Lonchura striata: one gene and its partners. The protein of the gene in region 1 interacts with the protein of each later gene in a biochemical or structural test. Links are inferred from orthologs where the notes say so. Each region holds a gene or a part of one and is shown in the gene's direction. Other genes may lie near its edges. The genes, in order: SPI1, IRF1 and MECP2.

Evidence for each region.
Region 2: the proteins of SPI1 (region 1) and IRF1 form a complex in vitro, tested with the Homo sapiens proteins (2 studies listed by BioGRID). The link is inferred for Lonchura striata from reciprocal best matches to the Homo sapiens genes SPI1 and IRF1.
Region 3: the proteins of SPI1 (region 1) and MECP2 form a complex in vitro, tested with the Homo sapiens proteins (2 studies listed by BioGRID). The link is inferred for Lonchura striata from reciprocal best matches to the Homo sapiens genes SPI1 and MECP2.

What each region holds. Positions count from the first base shown.
Region 1 is NC_134608.1:39,307,816-39,318,867, reverse strand, and holds the start of SPI1 (transcription factor PU.1), read left to right. Parts: upstream 1-6,126; 5' UTR 6,127-6,409; coding exon 6,410-6,454; intron 6,455-11,052. UniProt on the Homo sapiens protein: Pioneer transcription factor, which controls hematopoietic cell fate by decompacting stem cell heterochromatin and allowing other transcription factors to enter otherwise inaccessible genomic sites.
Region 2 is NC_134617.1:10,776,116-10,786,971, reverse strand, and holds the start of IRF1 (interferon regulatory factor 1), read left to right. Parts: upstream 1-5,989; 5' UTR 5,990-6,095; intron 6,096-7,378; 5' UTR 7,379-7,383; coding exon 7,384-7,470; intron 7,471-8,432; coding exon 8,433-8,532; intron 8,533-8,722; coding exon 8,723-8,899; intron 8,900-9,219; coding exon 9,220-9,269; intron 9,270-9,382; coding exon 9,383-9,518; intron 9,519-9,686; coding exon 9,687-9,812; intron 9,813-10,419; coding exon 10,420-10,463; intron 10,464-10,856. UniProt on the Homo sapiens protein: Transcriptional regulator which displays a remarkable functional diversity in the regulation of cellular responses.
Region 3 is NC_134638.1:1,377,395-1,387,470, forward strand, and holds the start of MECP2 (methyl-CpG-binding protein 2), read left to right. Parts: upstream 1-5,736; 5' UTR 5,737-5,745; coding exon 5,746-5,783; intron 5,784-10,076. UniProt on the Homo sapiens protein: Chromosomal protein that binds to methylated DNA. It can bind specifically to a single methyl-CpG pair. It is not influenced by sequences flanking the methyl-CpGs.

The sequences.
Region 1 (11,052 bases):
GATTCTGATTCACTTTAACCCCAGAAAATGTTTAACTCCTTCTGGTAATTATTGTGAATTGATCCAGTCCTACAAATGAAGATACCCCAAGTTCCTCTTTCCCTTTCCCCCCCTCAACCATATACAGGCACTTTGCAATCAAAGCATTCTGCTCCTCTGCACCCCACTGCCACTGCACTGAAATCCTTGTCATAACACCTTCGGCTCTCCACATGGTTAATTTGCTCAGATTTATGACTGTTCCTGCTCATAAAACAGGAATATAATTCTATTTTTCTAATTTTCCAAGATACATGCCTCTTAGTTTATTCTTCTGTAACATTCTTTAAAATACTGCCATTAATATAATATGGCCAAAACAAAACCTCTCAGTTTTCCTTCTCCCGCCTTCTATCAGCAAAGCTGTTGTAAGGCTTGCTGTCCTAGAGGCTGTCTGTGCCCATCTACACAACCAGGCTTTATCAAGGATATGCAGTTTCCTCTTGCAGAACACCTGTAAGTGGAAAATTTTTCACTTTCCTTTATTGCTTAAACTCTTGCCCACCAATGACCTGAAAAACAAGTCTCCTTCTGTCTGGTGTTCCTGCTTCAGACTCTTTTTCCTTCCTCTCCTTTCTCCATTCTAAGGGGGAGATCATTGTTCAAAAACTTTCTGCTGTATTTCTCCACTATTTTCCTTTAAACTATCACATCAAAACCAAATTTTGATGTCCTTTGAATACCCTTCACAAAAGTATTCCCCCCTAGTATTTTTTTCTTTAATGTGCAATATGTTATGTAATTGTTTAATGTTCAATGTAATACATTGCACAACAACAAAAAAAATTAAATAGAGTTCAGTACAGTACCTACGGTACTGTAGATTTTTTAATGCAAATTGCTTGCATTAAAATGAAAAGATTGCAACATTAGAGGACCAATAGTCACAGTCATGCAAACAAGAGAAGGGAGGAAATAAAGTATCAACGCATTTATTGTTAGCAGAACAACTTTGCAAAAAACATAGTACTAAAAATATAGAGCAAAATAACGGCATCTAAACAAAAATTTATCAGCACCTTCAATGGGCCTGTATCCTTTACCTGGCTGATGTAGCACTTGACAAAGCACTAGGCAAACTTTGCTCTTAAAGAAAGGAAAAGCTTAAGATGGAGCTACTTATCTCTAGGCTGTTAATTTTTTCTACCAGGTTAGGTAAGGATTTCAGCTTTTCACCAAACCCTGCAGATTTCAAGACACCTGAATAAAATCACAGGCAAGAAAGTAAAAGTGAAGACTGAATAACCTAACTGTATGTGACTTATTTAGTAAAGATGGTCTGAGGATACAAAAGAATGAATTGTAATTAATTTAAACACAATTTTCTAGTTGGTAAAAAGTTTCAACAGATAATATACTCCTGAGTGTGTCATACACACCTGCCTAGTCACACACAAAAAGCTGTGACCTAGGCCTTGCATACATACTTCAGCTCTTATGCAGCCAAACACCCATGGGGAGGATGGAAGACAGCACTGGCTCCCAGTACTTTAGTTCCTCTGTCTGTGCAACATTCCAAGCACAAAGTCCTCATCAAAGTGGTGGCAGAGAGCCAGAGGCACAGCTACAAATCCACCAGCTACCTAAGCACATTTATTTGTGAATAGCCTTGTTCTCTTTAGAATTCTGAGAGATTGCTAAGAGGTATAATCCTAATAAGATGCAAGCTTGGAAAGTATTATTTACATTAGGGATCAAGACTAGGTACAGCTGAGCTCTCAGGAAAGAACTGCTACCTAAATATACAAATCAAGCTCCACACAGAAAAGATGTCTCTGACACAGCTTGGCAGAGGTCACTACAGACTCACGGTAAGAATCCTCTCCAGTGGTGAATGTAGTCCAACAAAATAGTTCGGATCATAAGAACACTTCTAAAATCAATATCCCGATCCTTCCCACTTACTACACTTTGCACCACACAGAAATATTAGGATGCACAAACTGGATTATTTTCAGATTAAACTGAACATGTAGCTCAGATCTCCAGCTGCAAGTGGGAATTCCATGCCATCAGACTAGAATCAATCTGAAGTGACACCTTGTCAAAAGAAATACAGGGTGTATTGAGCCTCCATCAGCAGCAAGTAGTTTTCTCTACAAATATATTCTTCTCAAGCTGAATCACAGATTCACCTTAAATTTATAATTTAATTTTTACCATTAAAGTATCTGATTTTTTTTGGGGGGGTTGGGGAGAGGCTGTGTGGAGGTGAGAGGGTGATAGACAATTCTGCCTTCACCTTACTGGTGCTACTGACTGTAGGTAGGATGCACACTGGATGTAGACTTCAGAAGTAGATGGTTAAAGCAGTCTTCCATGTTAATTGCTTGAAAAGATACTAAGGTTTTGAGAGATTGGATAACAATAAGCGAGCAGAAATGTGTAAATTGAAAATCTGTTGCCCACAGAATGCAGAAGATCATTAAAAACCATATAAAATCATAACCATATAGTTATTTGAAAATGCCTTAAAACCCAAACAAGTTTTCCCAAATACAGTAAGTAATAAAATGCAGATGACACGTAAACAGATCTTAAAGCCATATAAATTGCCAAAGAGAGATTTTTTCTTTGCTGAATTCTGTTTTATGAAGAGTTTAAAAGTTACTAATCAACTGAAAAAAATAAATGCTTTTCATTTCTGTAAGTGAATGCATATCATAATAGTTCTTAAAATATCCATGAAGTTTTCTCTTCCTCCAAATGAAAGTGGTTTTCTCCATTCTCATATGGATGGAATCTAGTCTATGCTTGAAAATCTTTGTCAATATATTGAAGTTAGCTAAAACTGATGTTTTAATTGCATTTTATCACATTTCCCACTAGCAAAAGTCTTTGTATAGATGCTGTTACATAAAACTCAGGAACTCATGAAAGCTGAACTGTCAAAAAGCACTTTTTTGCAAGTATGAATTGCATCAGCTCTGGGAAGGGATACCCATATAGTGAGGAAAAGTCTTTATTGAAATACAGTCATGCCAATAAACCTGTGGGTATCACAAGGGAACATCAGTGAGTGATACCACCACAGTAGAAATAGGAGCACATATTTCAGGAGAGAGTATAGTCAGTCTGTTAAAGTTCCTGAGGTGCAGGTCCACGTGAGAAAAAAGAGGTAATAAAATCTTTTCAGCCAGAATTTGCAGCAGCCATTTTCTGCCTCCTACTCTCTCACAACAACATATGCAATAAAGATATTTCAACAAATATCTTCACCTCAGTATGAGTGCATGCAACAAGCAGTTATCAAGAGAAGACTGTCCTCCAGACCCCACAGGTTCCACAGTCAGAGACCCATGTAGTCTCAATGGATAGTAAATGTTAAAGGATGGTATACAAGACCTACAAGCTGTATTAGGTCTAGATAAAAACAAGTTCCATGCCAAAACATAATACTGTGAAGAATACAGAACACAGGGGAATTCCTTGCTTAGAGGTGTTGTCTTTCTGTTACAAGAAAACTCAGAAGCAGAATCTGTGTAAACACCTGTTTCTGATTAAAGAACTACAGAATGAGTGATGTTGTCTGTGGTTTTAGTAGGGGGGAAAATTACCTTCCAAGCACCAAACAAGGTTTGAGGTGACGAGACCTCTCTGTGATGTGGCTGCTAGATGAAACCCTTTTGCTTTGGTAGTTTGTGGTTAGAAATGGCTTAAAGAACAAATGGCTAGAGGTAGGGCAAGAAATATTCCAAGAAAAATGCACACAGTGAGGTGATGCTTAGAGGGAAAAGATTCAGATGAATGTTTAATGTTATCAGAAATAATCTTTCAAAAACTTAATCCTTCAGCTCATCAGTTTTTTCTCTAGTTCTCAAATTCCATTATGGAGAAGGATCTTCATCCAAATTCAAAAGTATTTTTAAAGGTCAAAATGCACCCTGTGAGTAGCAGTTCACATCAGTTACTCTGGAAATCAGTTCACTACTACACAACTGTTCTGTAATTTCATCTATTTTCTTGGTTTAAGTAATCTAATAAGGCAACTGCAAGGATCTGGGGCAAAAGTATCACCTCTAGCTGCCCTTGCTCTCGGGGTGAGAAGATTCTGTGCTCACAAACAGAGGATAAAATATCAGTTATATGCAATTGTGAGAAACTAGTCTGTGTTGAACTTTAGCAAGGTTGTTACTAATGATGTTGCTATACAATTGTGATAAACAAGTGTTTTATTTCACTTTGAGCATTTCCATTTATGGACATATCCTCTTTCCTAGGAAGATTATTCAATTGCTGGACTTCCTGCTCGTCCTGAAACCTTATGTCATATAATTTAGTTTTGAGTCAGCATATAGAGAATCAATTTAATTCTTTATATTGATTGCCTTGATGCACTTACAATTACTATATGTTTGGACCCAGTCGATAATGTTGGCAAGTCAGCATTCCCTGAGTGCAGTAAGGCTGGTGCAAAATATCTGTCCTAATTAGGCAATTTCCTCTGCTAAAAGTCAGTACAGAAATGTCCTCCAGCCTATGGAATATAGTTTCATTCCACTTTAGTAGAAGCCTCTCTGTATAAAACACATGTTTAATATTTGCAGAAGCTGCTTAAGCTATCTTTCAATATGCAGTGAATCAGATAGCATATCTTCCTCGCTCTGAATAGCCTTGTTAATAGACACAGGATTTCCACAATTGCTTTTATCACCTATTATTCAATTGCCCACTGTAAGATTTGTGTGTTCACTCCCTTCTCTTCTGTTTGCACTGAATTTTATCATCAGGGTGTTATTTTGCTTCTCTCCTTTTCCCCCAGGTGGTTTGATCACTTCCAGGCTGGTATCCAGGGGGTGACTTGAGAACCATCTCAGAAGCAGAAGTGGACTGTTAAGCAGCTTGCTTATTCCCAGGCTGAAGTCAAGAGTTCATGGTATGAATTAAGGAAGAATTAAATGCTTGTGTATCAACTAATGCTGATGAAATCCAGTTAGAAGCTTCAAGAGTTAATATCCCATCATGTTCTTGATATTATCCCATTGCTAATATGGTTTGCTCATGGAGTTCCTGAGGGTGGGGAATGAGAGGAACTTGTGAGTGGCCTCTGGTTTTACCAGTGTACAAGGGAGGAAGTCTGGAGTGGCTGAAATTCCCCCTTGCACACAGATCCAGGTGAGTGGTAAGCAGGCTGCTTTCAAAAGCAGAACCTGTGGCACATGGGTATAGACTGAAGGGGAACAAACCAGACAAAGAAACTTCACTTTTCCAAGACATTAGTAACTAACTGCAAAGCAAGAAGGCATTTTGCAGAATGAGAGCTCTCTCCCCCTGTAGCCAGGCCCCATCCCCTACGTCCTGCCCCATGCCCCACTCACCTCTGGCACTGCCAGAACCTGCATATGAAGGGCATTTGTTCTGTGCAGCCAAATGCCAGCAGAACAGTGGGATAAAGAGAGGGGAGAAAATCAAGCAAGCAGAACTAACACAAAATCTCTACAAGGTATTTCTGCACCTGAATCTTCAAGCAGGAGTCTATAGATCTTGTTCTCTATTCACTGCTAAAGGTACTCGGGACCTGAAGGACATGTAATACTTTCTCCTTTTCCCCACTCACTTTCTCCTGTAGGAATTAGAAAAGAAAAGAGTTCACAAGAAACAAGTAAGAGGACAAAGTATCTTTCACTGAATTTACTCTCATGCAAAGCTGACGACGAAAAGTCTCATGGGCATAACTTCAGTGTTTGTATAAACCTAAGACTGTGTATTTGAAACTGCATACTCTTTTTTTTCTTACCTGCTAAGTATTGCCACATAAATTTCAACACAGGACTATTATTGATGCAAGTCTATGCCACTGCTCTGGCCTCACAGAAGTTGTCAGGACTGTGTCTATGGTGTCTCATTAAAGCAGAGAGCAGCACCATGGTTCTGGTTCATGTGCAGTGGGAGCACAGAGCCTTCCCCCGGGCGCTGCACCGCACGCTCATGGCAGGCCCTGGGCTGCTGCTTGTACAGCAGAGCACCTGTCCATGCTGGGGCAGACTTCCTGCTGCAGCGCCACAGCTCCCTGAAATGAGATTTATGCAAACTGGCTCAAGTGTGATGTCACAGCGCAGATAGACCCAAGGCCTATCTGCCTTCTACAGACATTTGATAAAATCAGGAACTTCGCATACAACTCGGGAAGAAGTTCACCTCAGAACCTATTAGGGCAAACTATGAAAACTTGTTAGGGTCCTCCTGTCCTGAGATCCACCACTGCTAAGGGACTTCACAGAGTCCAAGGATCTCACTTTTTTTTTTTTCCTTTTCTTTTTTCTTTATTTTTCCTTTTTTCCTCCCATTTTTAAAATATGATTTTTTGCAAGTCAGTTATTCTGGATGTTTGAAAACTGAATTAAGAAAAATTCACTCAGAAGTTGGCTGAATGTTGCAAGCTTGCAAGATGGAAGGATTTCCCCTTATTCCCCCTGTGAGTATATGAATTTATTTGTAATATGGATCATTTGGTTCAGTAGTAAAAGGCAAAGTAAACCAGTTTTATTTATTTGAGAATATCTCTGGTTTGGTCTGTATTTATAATGTCAGGAAGTTTGGCTTAGGTCAATATATAAAACTAGTGACAACACTGCAATGAAAGGGAAATTAACATTTCCTCCCCAAACTTGTATCTGATTTTGATCTCCATTTGTTTTCAGAGATTAAATGTATGGTATTTTTGTACATGGCATTTATAGCAAGTCAGTAAATCTCTCTTCTTCAGTGCCACCTACGTGATATAAAAGCCGTCTTTCTTCAGATTGTAATTCTTAATCATCTGAAGTCTCTGACATAGTTTATGTATTTAACTGTCTACTAATCTGTGAGAGAATTGTTGAATGTTCATTTGCATATTGCAGATTTTAGGATTCTGTGTGTTCTTTTCAATGATGGCATTTTAGTTTTTAACTTAATATTTTCTTAAATTCTCTTGAATTCACTAACTGTGAAAAAGTAATTGGCATATGGGGAAAAACCTGCGGTCCTTATTTGATTCTTTCAATGTTTTCTCTAAGATATAAATTTTTCTGTGTGCTTATGGGGCAGGTCTATCCTTTCCTTAACTCTGAAGAATTGTTGCACTGCTGTAATTTATCATATGATGATTTAAAAAATTATTATTTATGGAAAAAATAATGTCATTAACCTGGTGTTCACAAACCAGCCTTAATGGGAAATCTCTAAACAGAATGGGTGCAAGAGGCCTTAATTAGATTTCATTAAGTTTGTAGAAGCTGAAGACGTGCCAGATAAGGTGGTTCACTTTGCTTTTTATGTGGTAGATGGCTTACAGTAGTTGCTATACATGTGACAGAGAAGAAAAGAGACAATGCAGATCCAAGAGGTTTTTCGCAAAAACTTGTATCAAGTTCTGGCTTTGTCTTGTCCCATTTAATGAAGACTAAAAACATTTCTTATCTTCCATCCAGAAAAGTTGCCCTTTGAATTCCTATCATGTTCAGAATTCATGATGACTGACTGAAAGTATTTATCTTATTTTTGGGGGAGACCCTTTATTTTCTCAGTTTATCATCAGTGCCCCTGAAATCACCTATCTACTCAAAGGGTGAGGAGACTACAAATATTTTTCTTATTCTTAAATATGCAGAATTTCCCAATGGGTCTGGTGCAAGTGCAACAGAATAGAAATCTGAATAGAAACTAACTAAAAAAAAAAAAACATATATAGAGATTTCTCAGTATGTTACTTGTTTGGCTTAAAAAAAATAAATTAAAAAGAAACACAAATCTTGTTGTCCTTAGCTACCCCAGAAAACTACATCTCCATTTAAAAAAAAAAAACAAAGCAATTGTTAATTTTTTGTCCATTTATTAACTCATAGCCAAGTTTTCTGTCTCTTTTTTCCCCCAGAGTTGAATTCCAGGACATATGTTGAATAAATTGAGTGAAAATCTAACACAGTTTGGCCCATATTCTAATTTGTTTTGTAGTTAATATTCTGTCTGGGTTGTGTTCAGATGAGCAATACAACTGGCAGTGAAAAACCAAGTGCATCTTCATTAAGCACTTGACAGGGCAACTTGATTTTTTTTGTTTTGTGATTAAACTGCCAAAAATTGAATATTGTTGTTTGTTTTTTCAAAACTGCTTTAAGTGCACTTTGAGCACTGCAGCTACACTCCTGCATGTCTGTGTCTCCTGGGGCTTTTTCAGTGGGGAGACACAAGCCTGTTTCTAGGCAGGGGTTGCAGCAACACTTCCCTCCTCCACCCCTCCCCGTTCAGTTGAGGGTGGGTCAGTAACTGCTTTTTCTTGCCCAAGCTAGGAAATTCTTATCCTTCAGATGGAAAACACTGTTTAAATTGTTTGGGAGTACTGCATCTTCCTCTGAAGATTAGAAATTTTGTGGGGAAAAATTCTGCAAACTGGGTCTGTGTCTTCCAGTGCATGGTAGAATTCAGTTGTGTTACGGGTCAGAACATTATTAAGTCAAACACTTTTGCCTGAAGAGGGTTCCAGTTTTATATGAATCCTTAAGTAGCCACCTGTAGAAATCATAGCTTTGAATGAAGTATTTTTGCATGAGAGCAAAAATGCCCCACAGAAGTATTCTGTTCCACATAACTGCACTGCCAACATGGTCCAGTGAGGATGGCCCAATGAGTAATCATGCTAGTATTTTTACTCATCTTTTCTAAAATAGTTATACTGTAATTTTTTTCCAAGGAAATAAAATTAATCTTGACCTTAAAGCTTGTATCAGCGGCACATCGCTGGAAATTGTCTGAAGTATTTTTGAATCACATGCCTCTGAATAGTTATACCAAGATAAAAAACAGATTAGCATTTAGTGATTTTACAATTTCCTGGAATCTTCTGACAAAGTCTTGGGGAATAACAAAATTTTCAGACTGCTATTCAGTTGAGTCCAATGTGTCTCTCTTAACCAATGCCAACTGAGGCTTTCTCTGACTGGTTTTGTGGCTTTTCCCTTGAGTTTCAGGGCAAAGATGGAAGACTGAGGCCACTCCTCATTTATCAAGTCTGTGACAGAAAGTATTGTTTGTTGACCTCTCACTCTAGGGTAGAATACTGTCTTAGATAGTGCACTGCACCTCATGGCACGCATGAAAGGAGATACCAACTTTAGACCACAGTTATGGGATCCTAACAAAGCTTTCAGTCATTCTTATACATGGAAACAACCGATAGAACAAATGGCCATTGACATCAGTTAAATATTAAACATGAGCTATTCTTTGCTTTTTGTCAGGAGTAACTAAACAGTTCAGTGTCATGGAAGAGCTGTCAGTAAGATGATGAAATGGGTGTGGGTGGGGAGGTTCCAGAGAAGGACAGGGCAAGTGGGTAAAGATTGGCACAAGAGGCAACAGCAGTACATGGTGAAACCTCTTCTCTCTTCTTAGAGGAAGCATTTCTAAAGAAACTTTTCTAAAAATAACCAAAACAACAACCCCCCCCAAAAAATACAGAAAGCAATTAAAACTATGTTATTGAAAATAGACTCTCTGATAAATGGAGGGAAATATCCCACTTTCCCATAGGATAATCAGAGAGAATACATGCTGTTATATGTCCTTCTAACCACCATCTGATTACATTTATGATAAGTAGACTTTTAAATATTTAATATACATCTTTCCATGTTGGTTAATGGGGGCCCTTGAAGATCAGGCACGAAGATAGAAAGCGGTGGCATTACAAGTCCTTTGTGGGGATGGGTCCAGTGGCATGAGTTAACAAGGATAAACACATACATATTTTATCAAAAGGATCACTGGACAGGAAACAAATCCAAGGACAAAGATTCCAAGAATCCAGAATAAAAAAATGTTAAGCCCCAGACTTTCAAACCCAATGCCCTATGTAAAATAATTTTTAGACGTTGAGTATCTGCAAGTTACTCTGCAGTCAGTCAGATCTGTAAATATTAAGAGAATCACTGTTTTAAGAGTCTATTTAACACACCTCCCTTTAGCTCTGGTCATTGAATATACATCTGAGCTGTAAAAGTAGCTTTTGACTTGTAAAATATTTAATTCCCAGCTGTCAGACTGGGAGACACTATTGGCTGTTAATGTATATTTGTCCAAAGTGAGGGAGTTTGGAAACTGAGAGAAGACAACACAGGAAAAGCACAATTAGGAAAAGCCAAATGTATTTTTCTATGGCTAAAATACATATTGTTATCTACTTTTGCACTAATGCTTGGCCTTCCTGCCAAGCTATACTTCTGTAAAGATATGAGTGATATCTTGTTGTATCAGTGGAAATTTTAGCAAATTAAGCCTCAATTGATAGGATACTGATTTATTTCTAAGTTAGTTTAATTTTGGCTACATAGTTACCAGTGTTTAAAGCTTCAATGCATTTAGATATTGACTTCTTAATAATTTCTATAAATTTCTAGTTTTAGTTGTGAGGAAACAGAGATTTTTATTTCAAACACTGTACATTTATATGACTTTTTCCCAACTAGTATGATATGCATTTTCCATTTAGATGTTGACATTTCCCCTTTCACATAACATGAATGCTTTCCTTTGAATGTTAGTAATTAATAATATTAATTATAATTAATATTAGTTTTTAATTTATAATATAAATTATAATAATTTAAAATTCTGAATATGAAGACATAAGTTTATATACTTAACAAGAAGCATATATTTAGGGAAATGAAATCAACTAATGTGGGATGAACTAATTTGCAAAGATAATGAAAAGGAGAAATAGAAATTCCATTTGGAACTTTATCCTAAAGAAAGCAAAATACAGTCTCAGTACTTTTTCTTGTCAGAGATCAGAGTACACTAAAGGTGGAAGGAATGAAGATGAGTAAGTACCTATAACCACAGAGAGAACACCAAGAAAATACACAGAGAGAAAGCAGAAACATTGAGGAAATGCATGCTGTACTGACTTTTTGACCACCCCCCTGAAATCTGGAAAACAGGTTATACTTCCCATTGTATCTCCGTGTGAATAAAGGGCAATTCTACTGTAATCACATAGATTTGGAAAGGGAGACTGTACCTACAGTATAG
Region 2 (10,856 bases), on another chromosome or scaffold:
CAGCTGGTGAGTTACTGGCTGGGAATCTCCACTGGGACTGCAGAGGATGTTAAAAATAATAATAATAAAAATAAATCTGTGTTTATTTCAGAAAAAATCAATCCCACCAAACAGGGGAAGGCGATGAGTTTGAACAAGGAGTCGTATGGGACAGCTGGTGCTTTCCCCAGGGTCTCCCTCGCTGGGTGCTGCTCAAGGGAGGTGCTGCCCCCCATTCCTTGGTTGGGAGAAGGTTGCAAGAGGTTCTTCTCTCCTTGCAGATCCGCCACTGTCCCTCAGCCATGGCTAGCTGAGTCCCAGTTCCCTCCTCCAGCATCCAGCTGGATGTGTCACTTGGCTTCTCCTTTTTTTCTTGGAGGGGACACGACCAGTGCTTACAGCACCCTCTTTGAAAGCATCAAAAATTGAGAGCCAGAAGTGAGAGCTGTGTCTGCTCTGACCCCAGCAGGACAGGAGCACCACACCTGCCTCAGGCAGATGTTTTTCAAGCACCAAATCTGAGTCTTGCTTATGTAAATTTTGGTATTATATGTTAAGGCTGCTCTTCTCCCTTGTGGTCTGTGTCTGGGCAGAGATGTTTGCAGTTGGCATCAAGGTTAAAAGCCAATTAATGATTAAAATATAGGGAATACAACTCAGATGTTTTAGCTTATGATTTTCACTCTTTGATATGGTCCTACAAGATCTTTGATGTCGCCATGGCTGCTCCAGCACTGGAACCAGCAGCCCAGCTCAGCCCAGGTCCTATCCTGCTGTTCACCCTCAGTCTGTCCCAGCTGGGACAAGCCCCCTTCCCACTGCCTCCTTTTGGCACCCTCTTTGCACAAGGGCAGGACACGCTGTTTCAAACAAAGCAGGCATTATGGATGTTCTTTCCAAGATGAAGCAGAGGTGAAACGCTCACAGGTCACTGCACTGCAGCCTCCACTTCCAGCTGACTTCTCCTGGAGCCCCATCCCCAGGGTGTCCCTGCCTCTGCTTGCAGGAACAGCAGGCAGGGGCTGGGTGCAGGCAGGAGGTACAGGCAGGAGGTGCAGGCAGGGGCTGGGCAGGAGGTGGAGTTGCCTCCAGAGCCCCCAGGAGCCCCTGCCTCCCCCTGAGAAGGGCTGGGGGCACAGCACCTCACTGCCACAGGCACTGGCCTGTCCTTCCCTTCCGACAGTTGGGAGGTTTGGCACCTTTTCCAGTCCAGGATGGAGCAAACTTTCCCAGCCAGGAGCCAGATAAGAGCACAGCCAGCCTTGCCCACCACGTGCTGCTTGTCCCTTTGGCTCGAGTCCTGCTCTGCAGATGGCTGGTTGGGCAGGAGGTCCATTCACACTCTCAGATGGATGCTCTAAGGGCAAACCAAAGAACTTGAAGACAAAACTCACCTTTTTTTCTACTGATCTCAGCCCCAGCTTCACTGGCAGGACTCCAGCAGTCTCAAATGCATGGGTTCCCATTTGACTTGGTAGTTACTGGCCAGGACCCCAGGGCACCCTGGGTCAGCACAGCCCTGTCACTGTCCCACAGCTGCTCCACTGTGCCCTGGGTGAAGACCCAAGTGAGAGGGTCCAAGTCCCTTTGGCATCATTTTTCTGCACCCTTGTCAGCAAAACTGCCAGAGCTGCCAGGTGCCTGCGGCTCACAGAATTTCCCTCAGCAAATTGTTCATGGCATGTCTGTGTCCTCCTTCAAGGAGCATGGAAAGTCCAAGATCACAAGTGAAGTTTTTGCAATTTCCTTTACTCCCACCAAAACAAGCACACAATCTCTGCTTGGTCTAATTAAAAAAATTTGCTGTGTTATCACTGGGAAGAACTGGAATAATTTTGAGTCTTTAGATAGGTCTTTCCAATTCCAGGAAACTGTAAATGGCCCATCCCAGGATATATTTATTGTTGCCTGCAGATCAGAGCACTTGCTGGGATTACATCATGCCATCTGGGCAGAGTTTCAACATTTCTGACATTCATTATCCTGCATGTGCTTCAACCAGAGTTCCTTTCTGTAAAATAGGCATTTATAAGAAATGGAAACAGCTTGGAGCAAGCCCTGCACCCTCACAGCTTCTGACCCACCAGCAGCTAGTTTTGGTTGGCTGCCTCATGGCAGTTTTTAAGGCTGATACTCCATCCCTGCTCCTGAAAAAAAATCACTCTGCATTAACCCCTCACTACCTGGAAAGCCCTTGGGAGGAAGAGGCATTTCCTGCCCACAGATGACCTTGGTCACCAAAGTGTGACAGCAGCTGGGTGCTCCTTAGTGGGGAGCCATGACAATGTCTAGGTTATAGGAACAGCTCTGCACCCATTTTTTAAGTCCAGCTCCACAAAGGAAGGTTTGTTTCTGAGCTGATGGGGAAAGGGGACAGAGGCAGGTGAGGGGGGGAAATTGGAAAGGGCTTGAATTAAAGCAGGTCTCTCTTAAAGCAGGTTGAAAAGAGGAACAAACAAACCTTCACAGAGTGGGGTCTGGAAGGGCTGTTGAGGCCTGGTGGGCATGGAAAGGTCTTGATGCAGAGATGGAAGGAAGCAGCCAGGGCCATGAGGAAAGAGATAAGAGGCTCCCTCTCACTGTGCTCCAACTCTTCCCCTCCACAAACCCCTGCTCCATCCTGTGGTTGTTCACTCCCCCCCCACAAATACTGCCTGGCCATGCAGACCCAGGGCTCTGCTGCCTCCCTGGGCTCACTACCAAGCCACCCAGAAGAAACTTTCTGTGGCAGCTCCAACCCCATCTCTCCCTGTCTCCATCTCCCCTTGTCCCCACTGTCTGAGCACACATTCCCCACTGTGGACCTTCTCCCCTGGCTGAGTTCACAGGGGAGGGAAAATCTTCAAAGCAAAGACTGCCATGAGCACTTGGTACAATGCTCAAGCTCTTTCCCCCAAGACACCTTAGAGATTTAGAACCCGAGGCTCACCTGGATGTGAATGCAGCTCTTCAGTCTGTACCCACATTGGCAGACATGCCTGCACTGAAGTGTTCTGGTTTTCTGCCCTTTACCTTCCAGCTTCTCAAAGTGTTTCTGGATGTTTGGAGCCTCAGGTTCACCCCATGGCACATGGAACCCATGGGGTTCTGTATTAACCACAATTTCTTCCATTCAGCACAGTATCAGAGCCATCCCGAGCTGCTTAAACAAGAAGAGCAATGATGCCAGAGAAAAAAGACCCATGTTTGAGCCTCTGTATCTGATCCATAACCTCCCTCCTTAGAGGCCATGCCATGGCTGATGTCATCCAGGTCACATTTTTTGTATCACTTAAGTTACAGTTTTCCTAGGAGCGCCTTATCTCAGGGCTCTGGCTGAGAGGGAGACGTATGTGTTATAGCATAACAAACACAACTTGCTGGAGGATTTGTTTGGCACTTAATTTGGTTTTAAATAAAGATGCTATTAGATATTACTTCTGCATTCGACAATCAATCCTAGACTTGGGATGCCCCTGGATCAAGTAAATGTGATAAAATATGTCAGTGATCTGCTTCTCTGCGATAAAACAAGGGAATTGGCAATTCATGGAGGGACTATGGAAAAAAAAGGTGTCCAAGGTAAGATACCTGTAAAATAAGGCTGAAGAAGGGCTATGATTCTGCAGAGAATAAAGATGTTGACATTATAGAAATTCTTGGGTGATTAACTGGGTGGAGCAGAAGGGCTTTATGGCCAACCATTTAATGACTCCCTGAGATTATTCCTTCATTATACTTTTATACATGACAAATGTAAATGTATATTTTTGCTACCTGAGGTCAGCTGCTGACAGGGTTGTTAGTGTAGTGGGATAAATGAGAGGAAGGAGTCAGTTTAATAAGGAGAAGGTTTTGTAAGTGTGGTATAAAGGAGTCTGACACTCAATAACATTGTGGACACACAAGTTATTTCCTTGTTTCAGCAGAAAGATAGCAAACAAATAATCAAGCATAAGGCATCCCAGGCTGGGCAGGTCCTGCTCCATGGAAACGTGACATGTAGATGTGGGACAAGACACAGATAGAAAGCTCAATTAGGTTTCATTATGTAGGATCGATCTGGGTTTAAACACAAGGAAAGAAGAGGAGATTGGGGGATGGGGCTGTTTACTTTCCTCATGCATTTCTATTCTAGGTCTGTTTATTTGGTGTCTGATGTCAATTTCTGTCAAGATACAGACTATAAAACCAGTAAGGGAGTCAAAGAAGTCATAGATTAAAAAATGTTACTGTTCAAAATCCAGTCATTTAAGATGTTTGATGCATTTGTCTTGTGCAGACCCATGAAACCAGGAAGCTCAGAATTATTTTTTTCTAAAGCTGGAAAAGTGGTGAAAGCAAACCATGGGAGGTTGTAACTCAAAAGCATAATCTTTTTTGGTCAATATTTAGGTTGTATAAGAGGTAGTGTGATTATTTTTGCAGATGACATTTACAATGAAATATCAAATATCTTCTGTCTTTTTCAGGCTACATTTATGTTGGCTTATATTTGTCTAGTAATACCTAGTATCTCTCCTTTGATTACATATTTAATTTACCTAATATATTATATCCTTACCTGTGGTGAAATCTGAGTGGTGAATGGTGCCTCCCTCAACACAAAGACCTGACTGGAGGATCCTACCACAAGTTAAGTGTGTCAAGCAGACAACATCATTAGTTAAGAGAAAACATGGGACTCTTACAGGGTGTTTCTTTGCAATTAAAACCAGGTTGGGGCTTTTCTTTTATCTCTATACTAAAAGAAGGAAACTTGCCAGAGCAGACAGTCAGTGTAGTGGTGTCACACTCCTGTCTCAGCTGCCCATGCATCTTTGTACCTCTCTCCCAATATAAATTCCTGTTGCATATGATTACAAACCTTCCTTGAAATTATGGAAGTAATTAAAAATGCTCTAATATTCTGCTGAATGAAATGCATTTTGAAGACACTGGGTGAAAATCTAATCTCCCTGTCATACAGTTACAGAGAAATCCTGATGGTTTCAGTAGCCTTCTGTCATGCTGCCATTTCCCTTCCTCAGGCTTCCTTCAAGAGGGATAAGAGGGGACAATAACACTGATCACCTTTGATCACAGAATCCCAGAATACCAGGGTGTTTTGGATTGGAAGGGACCTTAACGGTGCAAACACCTTGCAATAAGGACAGTTTCCAGCAGACCAGGTTGCTTCAGGCCCCATCCAACCTATCCTTGAACACTTCCAGGACTGGAACATCCTTTCTGGGCAACCTGTTGCAGGGCATCACCACTCTCACAAGGAAAAATTTAATATCTAATTGGAACCTATCCTTCTCTTAAGCGTGAAGCCATTCCCCCTTGTCCTGCCACTGGTCTGCTGAGGCCAGGTGGGTACCTGGCAAAAGCTGGTCCCTGGTTTAGGTGCACCATGATGTGCACAGGAATTGCTCTGACAACTCCACCGTCTTTTCCTGAAAAGGGAGAGCACGCTGTGGTACGGGGGCTGGATCCCGCTGTGGGAAGGGAACAGGATATCTCAGCGGGACGGGGACTGCGTCCCTGCATGGAACAGGGACTGGATGTCTCTGTGAGACAGGGACTAGATCCCTCCATGGGATAGAAACCCGATCCTTCGGTGGGACAGAGGATGGATCCTGCCGTGGTTCGGTCCTGGATCCCGGGCGGTGGTGGCTCCCGGGCGGTCCTGGATGCCGGGCGGCGGTGGCTCCGGACAGCGGTGGCTCCGGGCAGCGGTGGCTCCGGACAGCGGTGGCTCCGGACAGCGGTGGCTCCGGGCAGCGGTGGCTCCGGGCAGCGGTGGCTCCGGACAGCGGTGGCTCCGGGCAGCGGTGGCTCCGCACGGGAAGCGCGGGCGGGCGGCGGGGCGGGGCCGGAGCTCGCAGCGGGGAGCCGCGCCCCCCGAGCCGCTGGTGCTACAACAGCGTGATTTCCCCGAAGTGATGCCGCGGCGGCCGCCAATGACGGGCGCGTCCACCCCTCGCCGCGGCGCGGATTGGCCGGGCGGCGGCCGGGCCCGGGCGCGGGGAATCCCGGAGCCGCCGCGTTATACCCGCGGGCGCGGCCGGCGGCAGCCAGAGCCGCGCGGCGGGCGGAGGGTGCGCGTCGGTCGGCCGGGAGAGCCACAGCTCGGCACTGCACGGCACAGCTAGGTGGGTCCTGCTGCAACCCATCCCATCCCATCCCATCCCATCCCATCCCATCCTACTGTATCCTATCCTACTCTATCCTATCCTATCCTATCCTATCCTATCCTATCCTATCCTATCCTATCCTATCCTATCCTATCCTATCCTATCCTATCCTATCCTATCCTATCCTATCCTATCCTATCCTATCCTATCCTATCCTATCCTTATCCTATCCTTATCCTATCCTTATCCTATCCTATCCTATCCTATCCTATCCTATCCTATCCTATCCTATCCTATCCTATCCTATCCTATCCTAATCATCCTATATCCTATCCTATTCCCATCCATCCTGTTGTATCCCATCCCACCGTTAGCCCCCCACTTGGCGCAGCACGGGAGCTCCAGGAGGAGTCGCCCGGCAGGGTCCATGGGAGCGCTGCCGGGGGCTCGGCGCCGCTCAGCTCGGCTGGCCTGAGGCGGCGGGGCCGGCCCCAGCGGCGCCGAGCGGCTCTGGAGGCGGAGCGGGGGCACTGCCCCGGCAGCACGGCCCCGGCCGTCGGGGCGGGCACCGCGCATCCTCCCGCGGGCGCGCAGGGCTCGGGGACGCTCGGGCGGCTCCGCTCCGGGCAGCCCTTGGCAGCCCCTGGCCCGGGGCGGCACTCTCCGGGGCCGCGTCCCGCCCAGGCCGAGCTGTGAAAGTTAGGAACGTGTTCTTCGGGCAGCCTTGGGCCGTGTGTCTCGGAAAAAGCCCGCAAACAGGAAATTATTCGTGCAGAGGAAGCGCCGGGAGGGCCGGTCAGCGCGGCGGCAGCGCTGCTCGGGACGGGGCGTGGTGGGGCTGGGGATACCCACCTGCAGCAGCACCGCTGCCCCCGCCTTGCGCAACTTCATTAATAATAAACTTTTAGCAAGAGGGTTTCGCGGTCGGTGCCTCTCCGTGGCTGTGGAGCGGGGGAACAGCCGCACCCCGTGGCGGTGCTGGCGGACCCAGACCTGGTCGGAACCGGGCTGAGCGGGCCCACCCGGAGCTCCCCGCGCAGCACGGGCTGGACACCCACTGCTGCCGTCGGCCTCTGCCGAATGCCAAACCTGAGCCGTGTGGTGGAGCTGAGCCAGGCGGAGCAGGAAGCATTTCCTTCCAGGAGCCCTGGGAGGCACCGAACGAGTTAAGACTCCCGAAAAGCAGCTCTCGGTAGCACTGGTGGTGATGCCGAGCACAGACAGTATGGGAGGGGCGGCACTGCAGAGTGGTTAAAACAGTGATGAGAGTTTGTCTGATCTGTTTGTTACTTCTTTCACAGCCAACATGCCGGTGTCAAGAATGCGCATGAGGCCGTGGTTGGAAATGCAGATTGATTCCAATCAAATACCAGGATTGATATGGATTAACAAGGTGAGGCTGCTTTGTACTACTATCATCATTATGCTACTTGTATAGCATTAACATTCCTTGTTCTTAAATGACATTAAACACAAGTCAAGATCATAAAGGAAAAGACATAGAGAAAGCTTGCCAGCACTATGTTTAAGAAGGAACAGTTTTGTTTGCAGAAAAGATTGCTCTGCTTGGTACACAGTGGAGTAGTTCCATTTTTCCCTCAGAAAATTCCCAGGAGGGTAATGATAAATTGCAAAGAAAACATTCTTTGTATGTTGGAGAATGAAGAAACATTCAAAATCTCTTTTAATTCCTGCTGCTCATTGAGCCAAGTCACCTCCTGTTCCAGATAAGCAGCTGCTGTTGTACTCCATTTGCTTCCATTTTTAAGATTCAGCCTGAAAGAAATGTTCTATTTTTTGGTCTGTAAGGCCACCCTGTTACCAGGGTGTAGCACAGGTCAAGATCACTGAGCTTACTGAACCAAGTGTCTTAAGTTTCCATGTCCACTCCTAAGAGGATATTTAATCGACATTTTTTGGTAGGATTGCTGCAAGATCTTATGGGCAATTTAAAAAAGAGATTCTCTGACAAAGTGTATCTAGAAAAAATGCTGTAATATATGACATACTAATAGGTTAGATGTGATATATTGAAATTACTTGGGGATAAAGTTGATAATATTGCTCAGTTCTACTGTACTGTAGCACCTTTGGGGTTTTTTCCAGTTTCAGAAATCATAAAAAGCCTTAAATGCCATGAACAAAATAGATGGAACAATGGCTATTTAATTAAAATATAGATTCAATAACTATTGTAGTTATATGCCAATAGTTTAACCCTCCCTGCTCTAAAATACAGAGCAGGGGGTGTTAGAACATTTCTGAACTGCAATTGAGAACTCTGATTAAATCCATCACTCCAATCTGGCATGTGACATTTCTTTTTTTAATTCAAATCTCTTGGTTAAATTTCAGGATAAGAGGATCTTCCAAATCCCATGGAAACATGCAGCTAAGCATGGCTGGGACATGGAGAAGGATGCCTGCCTTTTCCGGAGTTGGGCCATTCATACAGGTGTGTGCTGGCTTTACATTCCCATCAGTCCCATGACTAGACTAAACAAGGCATTTTTTTGCCTAGATTTACACTGGTAGTTAGATTAACTACTAGTATGTGTGTCAGAAAATAGAATGTTGGTATCTGTCTTTGTGGGAAAAACCAGCACTGGAAAGTCTGAAATACACAACCCATCTCTTATTTACAGGAAGGTATAAAGAAGGTGAGAAAGATCCTGATCCAAAAACCTGGAAGGCAAATTTCCGCTGTGCCATGAATTCCCTGCCTGACATTGAAGAAGTGAAGGATAAAAGCATCAACAGGGGCTCCAGTGCTGTCAGGGTTTACAGGATGCTGCCACCCTTGACAAAGCATCAGAAGAAAGGTAAACCCTTGGCAATCCAGCTGGAGTTACACTGTTTAAACAGCACTTAAAGGCTCTGTGTGTAAGCACGGTGTGACAGACCTGTTGGCAGCACTGATGCTACTGAGCTTGCTCACTGGCTATTGCTGGGAACAGCTTGTACAAACAGTTCATTTTATCCCAAATTCCTTAAACATGCCTAAAGGCAGCATCAGAGGGTCATGGGGACTGGCTGGTGATGGCAGTAGTTGAACTTGCTGAGCAGGTTTCAAGGCTGCAAGAGCTCACACTTGCCTAAAATGTGCAGCCCTTTCTCACATTGGTCTTATTTTATTTCACAGAAAGGAAGTCAAAGTCTTCAAGGGAAGTAAGAAACAAGAGCAAGAGAAAGGTATGTGTCTGTAGAGACAGCTTAAGAAGTTGGAGGTTTTGGTGGTTTTCTTTCTTAACTTTTTTCATATGGGAACTTGCACGTTCTTAGACATGCTTTACCCTTGTTTTCAGTGTTATGAAGAGACAATGCTGAAAGAGTCAGCAGAAAGCGTAACCAGCACTCCTTTGCCAGATGACCACAGTGGCTACACTATTCACGACTATGCAGGGCAGGAAGTGGAGGTGGAGAGCACAGCCATGACTTTGGGTGAGATGCTGGGTTTAAGTCTGAGCAGAGTGGAAAATGCCATTTGTGCTAAACCCACGGTCAAAGATGACTCTGGGGGCTGGGGCAGGTGCAGTGTGAGACTGGCAGGGAGGGAAAAGGGCTGGCTGTGTCTGTCCTGTGAGTGCCAACTCCTGGTGCATCCCACAGACCTGTCCTCCTGCGAGGTGAGCGGCTCCCTGACCGACTGGAGGCCAGCGATGGAGGTCACCATGGCTGACAGCACCAACGACCTCTACCAGCTCCAGGTGTCTCCCCTGGCTTCGTCCTCAGAGGGTGGGTATTTCTTTTTTCCTAGCCCAGTCTTTTACTGGTCTGCTGGAGGCAAGACAGCAGGATGAAGGAGTGTCTGGGCAAACAGGAGAAACAAGAGCTGTATTATAGAAAAAACAACTCCCACCTGATAGATTTGGGAATTTGGAGTTACCACACCAGCCAGGGTGCAGAAGGGAAGAGCTGGCACATGCCACCTACCCATGGGTGAAAGGCTTTGAAATGCCTCCTGCTCCAGCAGAGATGTGAAGCTTATCACTGGGGAAATAAATAATTAACATGGATATATCAGGGTGGATATATCAGGGTGGTTCTTCACTCGGGGTACAAATCATCTTCCTCCTATCATCTTCCACAGCAAGTGGGCTCTGCTCTGTTGAGCCCTGGGGAGGCATCAGAGCTGGCTGGAGTCCTGCACCTCAGTGTGCAGTTGTTGAAGAGCATCAGAGATGAAGGGCTGTGAGTTGTCTGGGGTGGGCATGAATAAAAAGTGGTCATGTTGTGTGACAGGAGAATATGAAGTAGGTTCTGTGGTGAAGAAGCAGAAGTATGAGGGCTAAAAGTTGACATCTATGTTTTCTTCCCTTTTTTTTATGTGCTTACAAAACAGTCACAGATGAAGATGAAGAGGAAATAAACCCGGATATTTTTAAGGTAAAACCAGCCCTTCTTGTCAGACTAAAATTGTCCAAAGTTGATGTTTTACCAAGAAAGGAAGGGAAGCAGGTATCTGATCCAATCTCATGTGAGCTGAACATACTTGTTCTTAATGAGGAAACCTGAAAAATTAAGAAGAAAGCTGCTTTGCAACCATGAACTGGAGAGGACACACCCAGAATTATGGAAATATTTACCCTATAAAAGTCAGGGGAAGTTACTGAATACTGGTAGGACTGAAGGTTCATAGAATCACTGAATCATTAAGGTTGGAGATGATCTCTAAGATGTCAAGTCCAACCATCAGCCCAGCACCACCACCGTGTTCATTAAGCCATATCCTCAAGTGCCATATCATCTTGTTTTTTGAACACTTCCAGGGATGATGAC
Region 3 (10,076 bases), on another chromosome or scaffold:
ACCTTCCCAAACCCCCTTGCCTGCACCCCAAAACTTCTCCCGAGTCCCTCCATACCCCAAAACACCCCAGACTCTCCCCCCTGTACCCCCAAACCCCTCTGGAGCCCCTCCAATTCCCCCCCTGGATTTTGGGGTCCCACTGCCCCCCCTGATGCCACCACAGGGTTTTGGCAACATCTGGGAGGGGGGTCCTGGTGGACATTTGGGGGGTCCCGGGTGACATTTGGGGGTTCCCGGGGGATTTTGGAGGGTCTCAGGGGACATTTTGGGGGTCCCGGGTGACATTTGGGGGTTCCCGGGGGATTTTGGAGGGTCTCAGGGGACATTTTGGGGGTCCCGGGTGACATTTGGGGGGGGTCTCTGCCCCACCCTGGTGGGGTGCAGAATGGCGTTTGGTGGTCCCGGGGGATTTTGGGGGGGCCGGGTAACATTTGGGCGGTCCTGGGGGATTTTGGGTGGTCCCGGGGATCATTTGGGGGGTCCCGGGGGATTTTGGGCGGTCCCGGCTGACATTTGGGGGGTCCCGGGGGATTTTGGGCGGTCCCGGGGATCATTTGGGGGGTCCCGGGGGATTTTGGGCGGTCCCGGCTGACATTTGGGGGGTCCCGGGGGCTTTTGGGCGGTCCCGGCTGACATTTGCGGGGTCCCGGGGGATTTTGCGTGGTCCCGGATGACATTTGGGTGGTCCCGGGGGATTTTGGGCGGTCCCGGGGATCATTTGGGGGGTCCCGGGGGATTTTGGGTGGTCCCGGGGATCATTTGGGCGGTCCCGGGGGATTTTGGGTGGTCCCGGGGATCATTTGGGGGGTCCCGGGGGATTTTGGGTGGTCCCGGGGATCATTTGGGGGATCCCGGGGGATTTTGGGCAGTCCCGGCTGACATTTGGGGGGGTCCCGGGGGATTTTGGGTGGTCCCGGCTGACATTTGGGGGGTCCCGGGGGATTTTGGGCGGTCCCGGCTGACATTTGGGGGGTCCCGGGGGAATTTGGGCGGTCCCGGGGATCATTTGGGGGGTCCCGGGGGATTTTGGGCGGTCCCGGCTGACATTTGCGGGGTTCCTTGCCCTCCACCCCCCCCCCCAAGGGGGGGACTACATGTCCCAGGGTCCCTCTGGGGACCCCCCCCAGGTGTCCCCCTAATCCCGGGGGGGTCACGGGTGGCCGGGATTAGGGACAATCCCCCCGGAGGTGGCCCCGATCCGGGGGGGGGGAGGGGGCGGGGGTGGGACCCCCCGAAACGGGGAGGGGGGGTGGAAAAAAGTTGGGGGGAGGGGAGAGGAACCCATGGACTGGGGGGGATGGGGGGTCCGGGGGGGTTTGGGGGTGTCCAGAGGGGGTTTGGGAGGGGGTCCCATATTGGGGAGGGGGTCGGGGAGGTTGGGGGGTGGTCCGGGGGGGGGGTCGGGAGGGGCCGGGGGTGGGGGAGGGGGGATTAGAGCTCCATCCCCGCTCATCCCCCGCCCTCCCCCACCCCGCTCCGGACTGGGGGCACCGTGAGCAAACTGGTGGCCACAGTGGCCGGACTGGTGGCCGTCCTTGCCATACTGGTTTTACTGGTGGCTGCAGTGCCCATACTGGTTCCATACTGGTTTTACTGGTGGCTGCAGTGCCCATACTGGTTCCATACTGGTCTCCGTACTGGTGGCTGCAGTGCCCATACTGGTGCCATACTGGTTCTTTACTGGTGGCTGCAGTGCCCATACTGGTTCCATACTGGTCTCCGTACTGGTGGCTGCAGTGCCCATACTGGTGCCATACTGGTTCTTTACTGGTGGCTGCAGTGCCCATACTGGTGCCATACTGGTTTTACTGGTGGCTGCAGTGCCCATACTGGTTCCATACTGGTTCTTTACTGGTGGCTGCAGTGCCCATACTGGTTCCATACTGGTCTCCGTACTGGTGGCTGCAGTGCCCATACTGGTGCCATACTGGTTCTTTACTGGTGGCTGCAGTGCCCATACTGGTTCCATACTGGTCTCCGTACTGGTGGCTGCAGTGCCCATACTGGTGCCATACTGGTTCTTTACTGGTGGCTGCAGTGCCCATACTGGTGCCATACTGGTTTTATTGGTGGCTGCAGTGCCCATACTGGTGCCATACTGGTCCCCATACTGGTGGCTGCAGTGCCCATACTGGTGGCATACTGGTTCTTTACTGGTGGCTGCAGTGCCCATACTGGTGCCATACTGGTTCTTTACTGGTGGCTGCAGTGCCCATACTGGTTCCATACTGGTCTCCGTACTGGTGGCTGCAGTGCCCATACTGGTGCCATACTGGTTTTATTGGTGGCTGCAGTGCCCATACTGGTGCCATACTGGTCCCCATACTGGTGGCTGCAGTGCCCATACTGGTGCCATACTGGTTCTTTACTGGTGGCTGCAGTGCCCATACTGGTGCCATACTGGTCCCCATACTGGTGGCTGCAGTGCCCATACTGGTGCCATACTGGTTTTACTGGTGGCTGCAGTGCCCATACTGGTGCCATACTGGTTCTTTACTGGTGGCTGCAGTGCCCATACTGGTTCCATACTGGTCTCCATACTGGTGGCTGCAGTGCCCATACTGGTGCCATACTGGTTCTTTACTGGTGGCTGCAGTGCCCATACTGGTTCCATACTGGTCCCCGTACTGGTGGCTGCAGTGCCCATACTGGTGCCATACTGGTTTTATTGGTGGCTGCAGTGCCCATACTGGTGCCATACTGGTTCTTTACTGGTGGCTGCAGTGCCCATACTGGTGCCATACTGGTGGCACTGGTGCCTCTACTGGTCTTGTACTCGTCTCAGTTGTCCCCATACTGGTCCTGCACTGGAGTCTGTGGTGCCTGTACTGGTCCAGGACTGGTGGCCACGATCCCCATACTGGTCCCTGATGTCCCGTACTGGTCCCACTTGTCCCCGTACTGGTCCCAGTTGCCCCATACTGGTCCCAGTTCTCCCCGTACTGGTCCCAGTTCTCCCCGTACTGGTCCCAGTTGTCCCGTACTAGTCCCAGTTATTCCCATACTGGTCCCAGCTCTCCCTGTACTGGTCCCAGTTATTCCCATACTGGTCCTAGTTGTCCCCGTACTGGTCCCAGTTGCCCCATACTGGTCCCAGTTGTCCCGTACTGGTCCCAGTTATTCCCATACTGGTCCCAGTTATTCCCGTACTGGTCCCAGTTCTCCCCGTACTGGTCCCAGTTGCCCCGTACTGGTCCCAGTTCTCCCTGTGCTGGTCCCAGCTCTCCCCGTACTGGTCCCAGTTATTCCCATACTGGTCCCAGTTGTCCCGTACTGGTCCCAGTTATTCCCATACTGGTCCTAGTTGTCCCCGTACTGGTCCCAGTTGCCCCGTACTGGTCCCAGTTGTCCCCGTACTGGTCCCAGTTATTCCCGTACTGGTCCTAGTTGTCCCCGTACTGGTCCCAGTTGTCCCGTACTGGTCCCAGTTATTCCCATACTGGTCCCAGTTATTCCCATACTGGTCCCAGTTCTCCCCGTACTGGTCCCAGTTATTCCCGTACTGGTCCCAGTTGCCCCGTACTGGTCCCAGTTGCCCCGTACTGGTCCCAGTTGCCCCATGCTGGTCCCAGTTGTCCCGTACTGGTCCCAGTTCTCCCCATACTGGTCCCAGTTGTCCCGTACTGGTCCCAGTTCTCCCCATACTGGTCCCAGTTCTCCCCGTACTGGTCCCAGTTGCCCCATACTGGTCCCAGTTCTCCCCATACTGGTCCCAGTTGTCCCGTACTGGTCCCAGTTATTCCCATACTGGTCCCAGTTGCCCCATACTGGTCCCAGTTATTCCCATACTGGTCCCAGTTCTCCCCATACTGGTCCGAGTTCTCCCCGTACTGGTCCCAGTTATTCCCATACTGGTCCCAGTTCTCCCCGTACTGGTCCCAGTTGCCCCGTACTGGTCCCAGTTCTCCCCGTACTGGTCCCAGTTGCCCCATACTGGTCCCAGTTCTCCCCGTACTGGTCCCAGTTGTCCCGTACTGGTCCCAGTTATTCCCATACTGGTCCCAGTTATTCCCATACTGGTCCCAGTTGCCCCGTACTGGTCCCAGTTCTCCCCGTACTGGTCCCAGTTGTCCCGTACTGGTCCCAGTTGTCCCCATACTGGTCCCAGTTCTCCCCGTACTGGTCCCAGTTCTCCCCGTACTGGTCCCAGTTATTCCCATACTGGTCCCAGTTCTCCCCGTACTGGTCCCAGTTGCCCCGTACTGGTCCCAGTTCTCCCCGTACTGGTCCCAGTTGCCCCATACTGGTCCCAGTTATTCCCATACTGGTCCCAGTTCTCCCCATACTGGTCCGAGTTCTCCCCGTACTGGTCCCAGTTATTCCCATACTGGTCCCAGTTCTCCCCGTACTGGTCCCAGTTGCCCCATACTGGTCCCAGTTATTCCCATACTGGTCCCAGTTCTCCCCATACTGGTCCGAGTTCTCCCCGTACTGGTCCCAGTTATTCCCATACTGGTCCCAGTTCTCCCCGTACTGGTCCCAGTTGCCCCGTACTGGTCCCAGTTGCCCCATACTGGTCCCAGTTCTCCCCGTACTGGTCCCAGTTCTCCCCGTACTGGTCCCAGTTGTCCCGTACTAGTCCCAGTTATTCCCATACTGGTCCCAGTTCTCCCCCTACTGGTCCCAGTTGCCCCATACTGGTCCCAGTTCTCCCCGTACTGGTCCCAGTTATTCCCGTACTGGTCCCAGTTATTCCCATACTGGTCCCAGTTGCCCCGTACTGGTCCCAGTTATTCCCGTACTGGTCCCAGTTGCCCCGTACTGGTCCCAGCTCTCCCCATACTGGTCCCAGTTCTCCCCGTACTGGTCCCAGTTATTCCCATACTGGTCCCAGTTCTCCCCATACTGGTCCCAGTTCTCCCTGTACTGGTCCCAGTTGTCCCGTACTGGTCCCAGTTATTCCCATACTGGTCCCAGTTCTCCCCGTACTGGTCCCAGTTCTCCCCGTACTGGTCCCAGTTGTCCCGTACTGGTCCCAGTTCTCCCCATACTGGTCCCAGTTCTCCCTGTACTGGTCCCAGTTGTCCCGTACTGGTCCCAGTTCTCCCTGTACTGGTCCCAGTTCTCCCCGTACTGGTCCCAGTTATTCCCATACTGGTCCCAGTTCTCCCTGTACTGGTCCCAGTTATTCCCATACTGGTCCCAGTTCTCCCCGTCCTGGTCCCAGTTGCCCCGTACTGGTCCCAGTTCTCCCCATACTGGTCCCAGTTCTCCCCGTGCTGGGGCAGCGGGACCCGGGGCGGGCGGGGCGTGGTCGGGGCGTGGCCTCGCGGGGGCGTGGCCGGGGGCGTGGCCTCACGGACCGTTACGGCCGTTGGATTTCAAACCCTTCACAGCGCGGGGGGGCCCAGGCCACGCCCCCTCCGCCGTCTCTTGACCGACGTCCCCTACAGCCAATCAGCACCCGGCGTCCCGGCGCGGGGCCCAATGAGCGGCCGCGCGCGCTCCGCCGACCCCGCCCCCCGTAACTGACAGCGCTTCCCGCCAATTCCAACGGCCCGCCGCGAGCGCCCCGGCCCCGCCCCCGGAGGGCGGCCCCGCCGCCCAATCGCCGCGCGCCGACGCCTTGACCGACGGTGCGCTCCGCCAATCAGCGCCGGGCGGAGGGGCGGGGCCAGCGCCGCTCCGGGTTCCCGTCGCCGCTCGGTCCGGGCCGCCCCCCCCCCCTCCCGCCCCCCCCCTCCCGGCCCCCCCCCTCAGCTTCCCCCCCCCCCCCCCCCCCGCGGGTTCTTCGCTGCGAAGAAAATGGCGGCGGCGGCGCCGAGCGGCGACGAGGGGCGGCTGTGAGTGAGGAGGGGGCGGCGGGGCCGGGGGGGGGCCGCGGCGGCTGTTGGGGAAAGCTGTGAGGGAGCGGAGAGCCGGTGGGGGGGGGGGGGGGGGGGTCTCGCGCGCGCGCGCGCACGGGGCGACGCCCCCCCCCTCCTCTCTCCCTCACGCCCCCCCCCCCCCCCCACATCCCCTTTTCCTTCCCCTCACGGGCCGGGCGGGAACCGGGGATGGCGGGCGGGGGGGGTGTGTGTGTGTGTGTGAGGGCTGGGGGGGGGCTGCGAGCGCCGCGAGTGCGTCACGAGCGGCCGCGGCCCCCCCGGGGGGCGGGAGGAGCCCCCCGGCTCCGGGGAACCCTCGGTGGGACCCCCCGAGCCTTCCTCGGGACCCTCCGCCACGGGGGGACCTCCCTTCCCTTTCCTCCGCCAGCCCCACAAAATGCGGCCCCCCCCCTCCAACCCCATCCTCAGCGCCGCTGTGAAATTTGGGGACACCCCCCCCCCCCCAAAATACACCCCTTCCCCAAAATCCTGTGTGCGTCGCCATCCCGTCAGGGTGGGATTTGGGGACCCCCCATCTCTCGCAGGGACCCCCGCCCACCCCCCCCCCCACAAGGGGACACACCCCCCCGGCCCGTCCCGCGCGCAAAAAAAACCCAAAAAAACCGCCCCAAACCCTTCCCGAGTCGCCCCAAAATCCACCCCGAACCCCCCGCGAGTCACCCCGGATTTCCAGAGTTACCCCAAACCCCCCTAAATCACCCCGTGACTCCCCGAGTTAGCCCGACACCCCCCCCGAAGTCACCCCAAAACCCACCCCGGAGTCACCCCGAAACCCTCCTGAAGTCACCCCAAAACCCACCCCGAAGTCACCCCGAAACCCTCCTGAAGTCACCCCAAAACCCACCCCGAAGTCACCCAAAAACCCTCCTGAAGTCACCCTGAAACCCACCCCGAAGTCACCCCGAAACCCTCCTGAAGTCACCCCAAAACCCACCCCGGAGTCACCCCAAAACCCTCCTGAAGTCACCCCAAAACCCACCCCGGAGTCACCCCGAAACCCACCCTGAAGTCACCCCGAAACCCACCCCGGAGTCACCCCAAAACCCACCCCGAAGTCACCCAAAAACCCTCCTGAAGTCACCCTGAAACCCACCCCGAAGTCACCCCGAAACCCTCCTGAAGTCACCCCAAAACCCACCCCGGAGTCACCCCAAAACCCTCCTGAAGTCACCCCAAAACCCACCCCGGAGTCACCCCGAAACCCACCCTGAAGTCACCCCGAAACCCACCCCGGAGTCACCCCAAAACCCACCCCGAAGTCACCCCAAAACCCTCCTGAAGTCACCCCAAAACCCTCTTGAAGTCACCCCAAAACCCACCCCAGAGAAGTCACCCCGAAACCCACACCGAAGTCACCCCCAAACCCTCCTGAAGTCACCCCGAAACCCACCCCGGAGTCACCCCAAAACCCTCCTGAAGTCACCCCAAAACCCTCCCGAAGTCACCCCAAAACCCACCCCGAAGTCACCCCAAAACCCTCCTGAAGTCACCCCAAAACCCACTCCAGAGTCACCCCGAAACCCACCCCGAGTCGCCCCAAAACACCCCGAGTCACCCCAAAATGTTACGCCTGCGCTGCGCCCCAAAATACCCAAATTTGCCCCGAACTTTCGCACTCACGTGGTGCCCCAAAACACCCCGGGTTACCCCAAAATAACCGGAATTTCCCCAAAATGCTGCACCCCAAAACTGCCTCAAATTATTGCATGCACGTGATGCCCCAAATTATCCCAAACTGCCCCAAAATGATGCACCCCAAAATACCTGAAAACGCCCCAAACCGCTGTTCACGCTGCGCCCCCAAACCCCCTGAATTATCCCAAAATGCTGCGCCCCAAAATACCCAAAATTGCCCCAAACTGCTCCTCACGCCGTGTCCCAAATCCTCTCGATTTACCCTAAAATCCCCTGAATTGCTCCAAAATTTTCTGCTCGTGCGCCACCCCAAAATACCCAAAATTGCCCAAAACGCTGCTCAGGCAGCACACCCCAAACACTCCATTTACCCAAAAATCCCCCAAATTTCCCCAAATTGCTGCACTCATGCAGCGCCCCCAAACTCCCCGAGTTACCCCAAAATACCCTGAATTCCCCCAAAATACAACAGCCCCAAAATACCCAGAATCGCCTCAAAGTTGCTTCAAATGTTCCCCTCATGCTGCTCCCAAAAACGCCTCAAATTCCCCCAAAACAGCCGCGCTCCCGCGGCCCCTCCGAGTCCCCCCAAATTCCCCCAAATCCCACCTGGAATTGCCCTAAAACTGCCCTCACGCCCCGAAATCCCACAAATCATCCCTAAATTTCCCAAATGTTGCCAGAATTATCCAAATTTCCCCGGAACACCCCAAAATCTGGGGTCTCACGCCCACCTTTGCTGTGCCCGGGGTTGTGCCCACCCCAAGACCCCCTTGGGATCCTCAACCCTGGGGCCACCAGGGCCACCCCAGACCCCTCTGGGACCTCCCAGGGACCCCCCAGGGCCACCAAGAGACCACCCAGGGCCACCTCAGCCCCCCGACCATGGGACATGTCGGGGAGTCCCTGGGGGTCACCCCTTGTCCCCAGTCCCCCTCATCCCGCCATTCCCACGCCCCTTCCCAAATTTTTTTGGTGCCGTTTTTGTGACTTTTAGCCCCAGGATGGGGCTGGGGGGTCCCGGCCGTGCTCCCCTCTCGGTGGGGAGGGGTCGGGGGGCTCTCCTGATGTCCAGGGTGTCACCGTGGGGACCCCCAGCGCTGGGGAGGGGGTCCTGGGGGGCTGCATCCCCCTCCCCATGACCGACCCCACGGTGGGGGTCCCGCCCCTCCCCGAGCCTCACCTGTGTGTGTTTCCTCGCCAGGACGGGACCCCCGCGCCGGTGGCAGCGGTGACACCGAGGACGGGGGTCCCACCCCACCCCAAATCCCCCCCTAACGAGGGTCCCGTCCCCGGTGACACCGACACGGGGGTCCGGTGACAGCCCCGGTGACAGCCCTGCGCTGACCACGGCCCCCAGGGCTGGTTTTAGTCCGGCCGAGCCCGGACGGGGCTTTGGGGACGTCCGGTGTCCACTCCGAGCCCCCGTCCCCTCCGTGCCCCCCACACCGCCGACTGACCAGCGCTGGGATGGCATTCCGGCCGCGGCCGTAATTCCCGCCGGTCCGGGCTGCCCCTCCTTCCTCCTCCTCCTCCTCCTCCTCCTTGTCCTGGCTCTGGCCAGGCCCATCCCCTGCTTTGGCCAATTCGGTGCCGTGTCCGTGTGTCCGGTCCTGTCCGTTTGTCCATCTGTGCAGCCGGGACTGACCAGTGCCGTGTCCAGGGAGCTGCGGTGCTGCATCCGTGTGTCCGGCGGGGTCTGTGTCCAGCACTGACCGGTGCTGTGTCCGGAGAGATGCGGGGCCTGTCCGTGTGTCCAGCACTGACCAGTGCTGTGTCCAGAGAGATGCGGGGCCCGTCCGTGTGTCCAGCACTGACCAGTGCCATGTCTGGAGAGGTGCAGGGCCCTGTCTGTCAGTGTCCGTGTGTCCAGCACTGACCGGTGCTGTGTCCAGAGAGATGCGGGGCCCTGTCCGTGTGTCCAGCACTGACCAGTGCTGTGTCCAGAGAGATGCAGGGCCCTGTCCGTGTGTCCAGCACTGACCAGTGCTGTGTCCAGAGAGATGCGGGGCCCTGTCCGTGTGTCCAGCACTGACCGGTGCTGTGTCCAGAGAGATGCGGGGCCCTGTCCGTGTGTCCAGCACTGACCGGTGCTGTGTCCAGAGAGATGCGGGGCCCGTCCGTGTGTCCAGCACTGACCAGTGCCGTGTCCGGAGAGGTGCAGGGCCCTGTCTGTCAGTGTCCATGTGTCCAGCACTGACCGGTGCCGTGTCCGGAGAGGTGCAGGGCCCTGTCTGTCAGTGTCCGTGTGTCCAGCACTGACCAGTGCCGTGTCCAGAGAGGTGCAGGGTCCTGTCTGTCAGTGTCCGTGTGTCCAGCACTGACCGGTGCCGTGTCCAGAGAGGTGCAGGGCCCTTCTGTCAGTGTCCGTGTGTCCAGCACTGACCGGTGCTGTGTCCGGAGAGGTGCAGGGCCCTGTCTGTCAGTGTCCGTGTGTCCAGCACTGACCAGTGCCGTGTCCGGAGAGGTGCAGGGCCCTGTCTGTCAGTGTCCGTGTGTCCAGCACTGACCGGTGCCGTGTCCAGAGAGGTGCAGGGCCCTGTCTGTCAGTGTCCGTGTGTCCAGCACTGACCGGTGCCGTGTCCGGAGAGGTGCAGGGCCCTGTCTGTCAGT